Tribolium castaneum: one gene and its partner. The protein of the gene in region 1 interacts with the protein of each later gene in a pairwise test. Links are inferred from orthologs where the notes say so. Each region holds a gene or a part of one and is shown on either strand. Other genes may lie near its edges.

Evidence for each region.
Region 2: the proteins of Art8 (region 1) and Ntmt interact in a two-hybrid assay, tested with the Drosophila melanogaster proteins (2 studies listed by BioGRID). The link is inferred for Tribolium castaneum from reciprocal best matches to the Drosophila melanogaster genes Art8 and Ntmt.

The regions. Positions count from the first base shown.
Region 1 is NC_087396.1:23,002,356-23,006,403, forward strand, and holds the end of Art8 (protein arginine N-methyltransferase 6), read right to left. Parts: intron 3,931-4,048; coding exon of another isoform or gene 3,825-3,930; exon of another isoform or gene 3,776-3,824; intron 3,754-3,775; coding exon 3,517-3,753; intron 1,334-3,516; coding exon 1,146-1,333; intron 1,093-1,145; coding exon 528-1,092; 3' UTR 514-527; downstream 1-513. Other genes in the region: prostaglandin reductase 1, read left to right, coding at 3,825-3,930.
Region 2 is NC_087398.1:11,363,485-11,366,623, reverse strand, and holds Ntmt (N-terminal Xaa-Pro-Lys N-methyltransferase 1), read right to left. Parts: upstream 1,710-3,139; 5' UTR 1,551-1,709; coding exon 1,534-1,550; exon of another isoform or gene 1,531-1,533; coding exon of another isoform or gene 1,526-1,530; intron 1,474-1,525; coding exon 1,009-1,473; intron 953-1,008; coding exon 712-952; 3' UTR 689-711; downstream 1-688. Other genes in the region: RpL35 (large ribosomal subunit protein uL29), read left to right, coding at 79-81, 253-389, 436-667; uncharacterized protein LOC659581, read left to right, coding at 1,989-2,119, 2,168-2,321, 2,369-2,977, 3,026-3,139. UniProt on the Drosophila melanogaster protein: Alpha-N-methyltransferase that methylates the N-terminus of target proteins containing the N-terminal motif [Ala/Pro/Ser]-Pro-Lys when the initiator Met is cleaved.

The DNA of each region.
Region 1 (4,048 bases):
TTTGACAGATGTGTAGTAAGTAGGTATTTTAGAAAAAAAATCGGCAATGTGCAGCTTTTGAGATAATAATGGCAGTGTCTTATTTGATATTATACAACTAGATTTAATAAGCTTTTATTACTTTTTCCGTTTTCGATTTTTTTTAAACAATACTTTCTTGTAAAAGCAGAATCACGAAGTATGATTTTTTATAAAAAGAAAAATGTGTTTTAATCATCTAGTCGTCTGTAAACTTCTCATGTAAAATTAGAGAAATGCCGCTTTATATACAGTACCGAAGGTTTTTCTAACATCTCATTCTTGCCAATTTTAAAATAATAATATTTATTTATTTAAAGCAAAACAGCATATAACTTGTTTTTTTGAGGAGCTGTCGAGTGATAATAATTTTTTTGCATTTGCTCCAAATTATTCCAAATTACAAAAATACCTATTATGATAACTAAATTGTGAAAGAATTAGGAGAAATCTTAAGGAAATCAGAGGAAATCCGGGGAAATCAAAGCAAAAAAATCGAGACCACACATTTATTTACCCATACTTTCTTTCTCATATTTTTCCAACATTGCCCAAACTAGAATACATTTAGTCATATGACAGGCACAATATTCTGGATGTTCGACCTCGGCAGGGTCCAGCATGGTCACCTCAATGTTGTACCGTCTTGGATTTTCCTGAGCTCGAGCTAGGGATAATTCGTAGGCAATTGGCGCTTTTTGCTCGACTTGGATTTCAGTCGGGAGAACGATAGTTGTTTGCTTCCAGTGCGTCTCTGGATCTTCAGGAGCAGTGGATAGGGTGACGGGTTCAGTCACAAAAGACGGGAACGTGCAAGTGAACCACAAACAAATCCCTTGGTACTTCCCCGCCTTGGTTGCCACAGCGATGTGCTGGACCTTAAACCCGTCAACTTCTTTCTGCGTTACTTCGCGTAAATCAATCCACAGCAGCACCTCAGGATCGGCCAAAATGTGCTCTTTGGCCACCGAAACAGTGCTGGGTTTGTGCGATGCCTCAGTGCGGAGCTTCTCGCTGAAGCTTTTCATGGAGACGCCTTCGATGTTGCCCCAGGAGTCGAACATTGAGGGGACGCTAGGAGTTTTATTTTATTATTGTTTTTTTTTGCGAGAGTGAAAAACACAAACCAGCAAGGAGCTGAGTAAATTGTTGCCGATTCGGGGAACATTAAACCGCCCGGTTTGAGAAATTTGTCTCGGGCGAAAATTACAGAGTCTAGCATGCCTTCGTGCAAAAGGTAGAAGCCCATCCATTCTGATACTATTATGTCGACTTTTTCCGGCAAAACTGTGTCCTCAATTCTGGAATTAATCACCTAAAAGGGCACAAAAGATAGCTCCAGTCGTAACTGGAATCTTCCGAAGTAAACATTGAAAATATTTCTGATGAAATTTCGTTTGTCAAAATTTTTTTTTAATTATTGCCAATTCACTGAGTTCTAAAATCTGTATTTGCGTCAAACATGAAATGATTCAGAAATTTTCATGTTCGCTTATCTAATTTATCATCGATTTGATTTATCGTATTATGACAGATTAGTCACAAAAAATTTTTATGAATGATTTTGCAATTCTTTCACTTTTTGTAACATAATAAACCGTTTATTGTACCTAGTTATTTTCCCAAAAATATGTTCTTAGTGCCTTCACAAGTGAAATTTTTAATTTATTTAATAATAAAAACATAAATAAACAATATGCACTGTCGAATAGATGAGATAAATGTTAAAATAAAATAAAATGTAGCTCCATTAAAAGCTTGGAGATTTTAGAGGGAAATATTTCCGTTCATATTTTTCAGTAATAATTTAATAATTTATGAAAAAGTTCTAAAAGATCACAGATTTTTATCTATTATTACAATCGAGAATTTCTACAGTAAGTGAACTACATTTTGAATTTAATCTGGAAAAACACACTTCATTAAATAACAAGTTCTAGATTGATTTTATATAAGATACAGTTGGTGGACTTGGAAATTTATTTCACTTCTCAAACCTTTAGAAGTTTATTGACCTTTTCATTACTTAGTTAATTACACAAAAAAATTCGTAGATAATGCGTCATTTTGTATGAAAATTATTCCAAAAAATCGTTAAATTGGATAAAAAATGCTATTATTTTTGCCTTATTGGAGCACTTAAACTCAGTTTTATGAGAAAATTGTATTAAAATGAGACGAGAAATCAAAAATTTGTTGAAAAATTATTTTATTTCCCCTATTTTTTCAATTATTTTGCCAAATTTAACAAAAAATATTCCGAAAAATGTCGAATTGTGTTGAAAGTAAGAGAAGTCAGAAAATATCTTTTCCTTTTCCAAACATTTTAGCACACTGTTTAAACATAAACACATTATTTTGAAAAATTCTATAAAAAAAACAACATTAGAAATGACATTTTCTTTTGCCTACGACTTTAAGCGTTTCACCTCTTTTTAAAAAACGCACTTAATTCACAAAATTTATAAAATATTACTAAACTGGATCGAAAGGTCCTTTTTGCTTCTTCCAAAAATCTTAACATTGGAGATTTTTTTTTATTTTTCGAGTGGTACATTATTGAGATAGAAACGTAGATTTTACAAAATTTTGCTAAACCTGGCTAAAAACTCAATAACTGGATCGAAAATGATATGTTTTTCGTCCAAAAGCGCAATTATTCAGAAAAATTTCGTCTAAAATTACCCAAAAAAATCACCGAATTTGGTAAAAAAGTTGTTCCTTTTGCTTTTTATCGGAAGTTTAAATATGATTTTGGTCGAAACACTATGTTTAAAAAATCACAAAACAACACGAGATCTCTGCGAGATCTGTAGAGAAAAAAAGCTCTTCCCTGTAAAAACATTATGAATCGAAAATCCTATTTAGGATTCAATTAGGTTCTTTTTTTGCTTTTTTCAATTTTTTTTATTATATTCCTAGAAATAAGTATCACTTATACTAATATTTGCAAAAAACAAAGCTTTTAATTAAATTTTTTAAGTATTTAATACTTAGAAAGCTTTAACAATTTTTTTCTTTTTTTTAATATCATCACAAACAATATTTTTTCTCAAGTGTAGCGGTTGCCATAATTTTTACAGAAAACAAAGCTTGTCGAAAAGGTTTTTGACGATAAAAAAAATTATGAACCGACAACAAGTAGTTAGGGTTTTAACTAATTTTTTTTTGTTTTCTCAAATTTTTATTTTATTTTTATTTTTCACGTATCATCCCGTGTTTTGATTATAATTAAAAAAACAAGGCATGTAAGAAGAACATTTGACTATAAAAAATTACAAACCAAATGTTACTAGTAGTTATTTTCAAAATAAATTAAATTTCAATTTCTTTTTGTTAAAAACGTGAAAAACGATCATTTATACATAAATTATCACGTAATCACGCGAGATTAAGCGCCAATTAACCCACAATAATTATGATAATCTATTGTCTGCAGCGCACTCGATCCATAATAACTACATTACAACTATTGATAAGATCCAATCACTTACTCACCTCAATCACCTTATCGAACCCATTTTCCTTGATCACCTCTCGAGCTATCTTACTCACGTTACTTGCCTCAACGGCATAGACTTTGGCAGCCCCAGCTTGGGCGCAGAAAACCGACAAAATCCCAGTCCCAGCCCCCACGTCCAAAACCCTCCTCCCCAAAATCTGGTCAGCATTGTCAAAAATCGCTTGCTTGTAAGCCTTATTCCTCGGTGCATCTCTCAACATGATCTGATGAATCTGAAACGATCAGATAAAACCGGAGATAAGGACGTGATTTTCGACAATTGGCGTCATTAGCTCCGATCAAGATGGTGAAGGCACAAGTGTACACCGTTGCGAAAATTTTCGACGGAGAAATCAAAGAAAGCGACCTGAAGTTGCATGAAGAAGAGCTGCCAGCGCTCGAAGATGGAGGTAAGTATTTAGTTATTGACCAGTAAGATGTTATTCTTTGGCTTATTCTTGACAAATTTTGCGAAATAATTACGTTTCTTCACCAAAAACGCAGGCAATTTTTAAATTTTGATCCAAT
Region 2 (3,139 bases), on another chromosome or scaffold:
TTTAAGAAATTTAAACTGGTGTCGTAGTGCCAACTTAACCGACGTAAATTCTTTCAGATTGTTGTTGCGGAAGGCAGAATGGTAAGTTAAATAAATCTGAGTTTATTTTATAATTTACGGATCATCTGGTAACCAAACGACCAAGTTTCGCCCCCATTACCGTCCCCCGACTCTTGCATTGCGTTATTTCCCTCTTTCCTCGCAAATTTCGTGTTTGTGTCCGTTAGGTTAACTAACCTACAATTTTTTCAGGGTAAGGTAAAGTGCTCCGAACTGCGAACTCGCGACAAGAAGGAGCTCACCAAGCAGCTCGATGAGCTCAAAACCGAGCTCACAAGTCTCAGGGTGGCCAAAGTGACGGGCGGCGCCCCCTCGAAACTGTCCAAGATGTAAGTGTTGTTTTGCTTCAGCCACCAAGTAATGCTCGAATTACAGTCGCGTTGTACGCAAAGCCATCGCTCGCGTGTACATTGTGATGCACCAGAAGCAAAAAGAGAATTTGCGGAAGTTGTACAAGAACAAGAAATACAAGCCTCTGGATTTGAGACCTAAGAAGACCAGGGCTTTGCGCCGTGCGCTCACCAAACACGAGAGACGCATCAAGACGCCCAAGGAGCTCCACAAGAGGTCGATCTACCCCCAGAGGAAGTTCGCGTTGAAAGCTTAATTTGTACAATTAAATAAAACGTTTCGTAAAATAGTTATTTCATTTTATTCATCAGGTACGTGTTGTTTTTGGGGTCGTAGGATAAACATGTAGACCGTGTACAAGCCCTTGGGGAAGTTTCGTTGCTTCACTTGTCGGTAACAGTCCAAGTCAGCTTTTGCGAATATTTGGCGGAATAAAGACAAGGGGCGTGTGACTGAAGAGTCTCGCTCGTCTTTGTCAATTTCCTCACTTGACGAAATGTTTTCTTTGATTATTATGACACCATTTGGTTTAAGTCCACTTCTGGAAGAATAATTAATTTCAAATAAAAACTGTAACCAAAAGTGGCAAACACTTACTGGCACGACTTTAAAAACGTAACTAAATCCAGATCTGTCAAGTGCCCCAAAACCCACTGGCACCAGATAACATCGTACTGTTTCTCGGGCTTGAAACTCTGGAGCCCCACAGAATAATAATTAACCTTCTCCTGCAACTTGGGCCCTAAATACTGTTCGGCTTGACTTAGAAACTTTGGATTTTGCTCGACTAGATCAATTTGATCGAAAAAATCGCTAAGGAGGTGCTTGGTTATGCGCCCAATGCCGGCACCACAGTCAAGGGCGTGCCCCCGGCCTGGGGGCTCCTTCGAGTTAAACAGCTGCTTGAGCAGCAATTTGGAGTCCCTAATATCGGTCTGAGAGATGTGCCCGAAACCGCCGAGCATACCGTCGATGGTTGGGGGGATCTCGGACCAATACTGAACGGCGTTTGAGTAAAATGAATCATCGGTTGTCGACGCACTACTCACTTCCATTTTCACACTTAAAAATTATTAACAAAATGAAAATGAAACGAAAAAGGCGGGCACTTTACGACATAACCTATCATTTTTTGACATTTGGTAAAACTGGCACGTTCCATAAATCGCAATAAATTAATACAGCTTATTAAATTATAATTAAATATCACTCAAAATGGCAGGCAGTCGTGGGGGCGAATCACTAATTGTGTACAAATAAGTCGGTGAGTTTGTCCAAACTTTTTGATTTTTGTCAGGGTGACGTTTCGGAAAGCACCCAATTTGGCAGCGATTGTTTGGTCGACTGTAATGTTCATGATTTTTGGTGCTATTTTCTTATTCTATGATCCAATTTGACAAATCGGTGTGACAAATAGCCCCACCGGCGTTTGTCATCATGTTTTGTTGTGTTTCGTAACAAATTCAATGGATTTGTTCCATAAAGCGTTGAAAACAATACTTTCGTTATCATGATTGTGATAAGGCACCCCAAATGCTATTAAAGGCGTGTTGGTAGTGGACGGTTTTAGTTACAAAATGCGCATAATTAGAACAATGCAAATCAGAAAAGTGTTTCTTCTGGCCATTTCTTCAGCCTTTGGTATTCTGATGTTACTTATAGTAACACGGGACTCTCCAATAAATGACATCGACCGAAAATTCCGATTGTGAGTATGAATGAGTTATTTTCGTAAATTCGAATTTGTGGCCTTTAGGGAAAAAATCGACGAACTGATTCACTCACAGGCGAGCTCCCTGGCTTGCAAACAGCCCAACTTGCCGGTATTTTCCCCCGAAATGATGAAATTCGTCCATGAGGAGCCCCCAATTGACTGTTCATCGGCAGGGCCGGACTGGGTCAAATGCCAAGTAAAGTTTTGCCGAATTTTAGCACAACTCTCAAACGCTGATTCAAGGGTAGCGAGTGTCGAATCCAGGACGAAATTAAGGCGAGACACGGACGCGTCACTTGTTCTTTCACTGATATAATCCGAGTCAATGATTTTGAGTCAACCAGTGGGGAAACAACCTACTCAGACTCCTACTATAAACTCGAAGCGAGCGATGTAGTCAAAGTTTCGTGTCGGGGGCAAAAGGCCCAATGGTCGGCGACTTTGACCGGAATTCGCCTCGATAAAAAAATTTGGGAGAATACTAGTTGGAGTAAACTACCCTCGGACGCTGTGAAGTTCAACGTTTTGATGTTCGGTTTCGACTCAATTTCGCGCAACTCTTTCGTGCGAAAGTTGCCCAAAAGCTACAAGTTTTTGACTGAAATATTGCACGGGGACGTTCTACAAGGGTATAACATAATCGGGGACGGAACCCCGCAAGCCCTAATACCGATTTTAACGGGGAAGACCGAACTGGAACTCCCTGATACGAGAAAACGGTTCGCAAACACGAAATTCGTGAACTCGTACCCGTTTATTTGGAATGAGTACAAGAAGGCGGGATACGTGACTGGTTACTTTGAGGATGTGCCCGAACTGGGGATTTTTACATATCGCCTAAATGGTTTCAATGTTTGTGTGTTATTGTATTGTTGGCTATGAAGTCAGAAATGGTTTTAGGAAACTCCAACTGATCACTACATGCGGCCGTATTACCTCGCTTCGTTGGGGGAAAGACGCAAATGGCCAAGACTTTGTACCGGGGAAATACCGAGGCATCAAGTCATGTTCAAT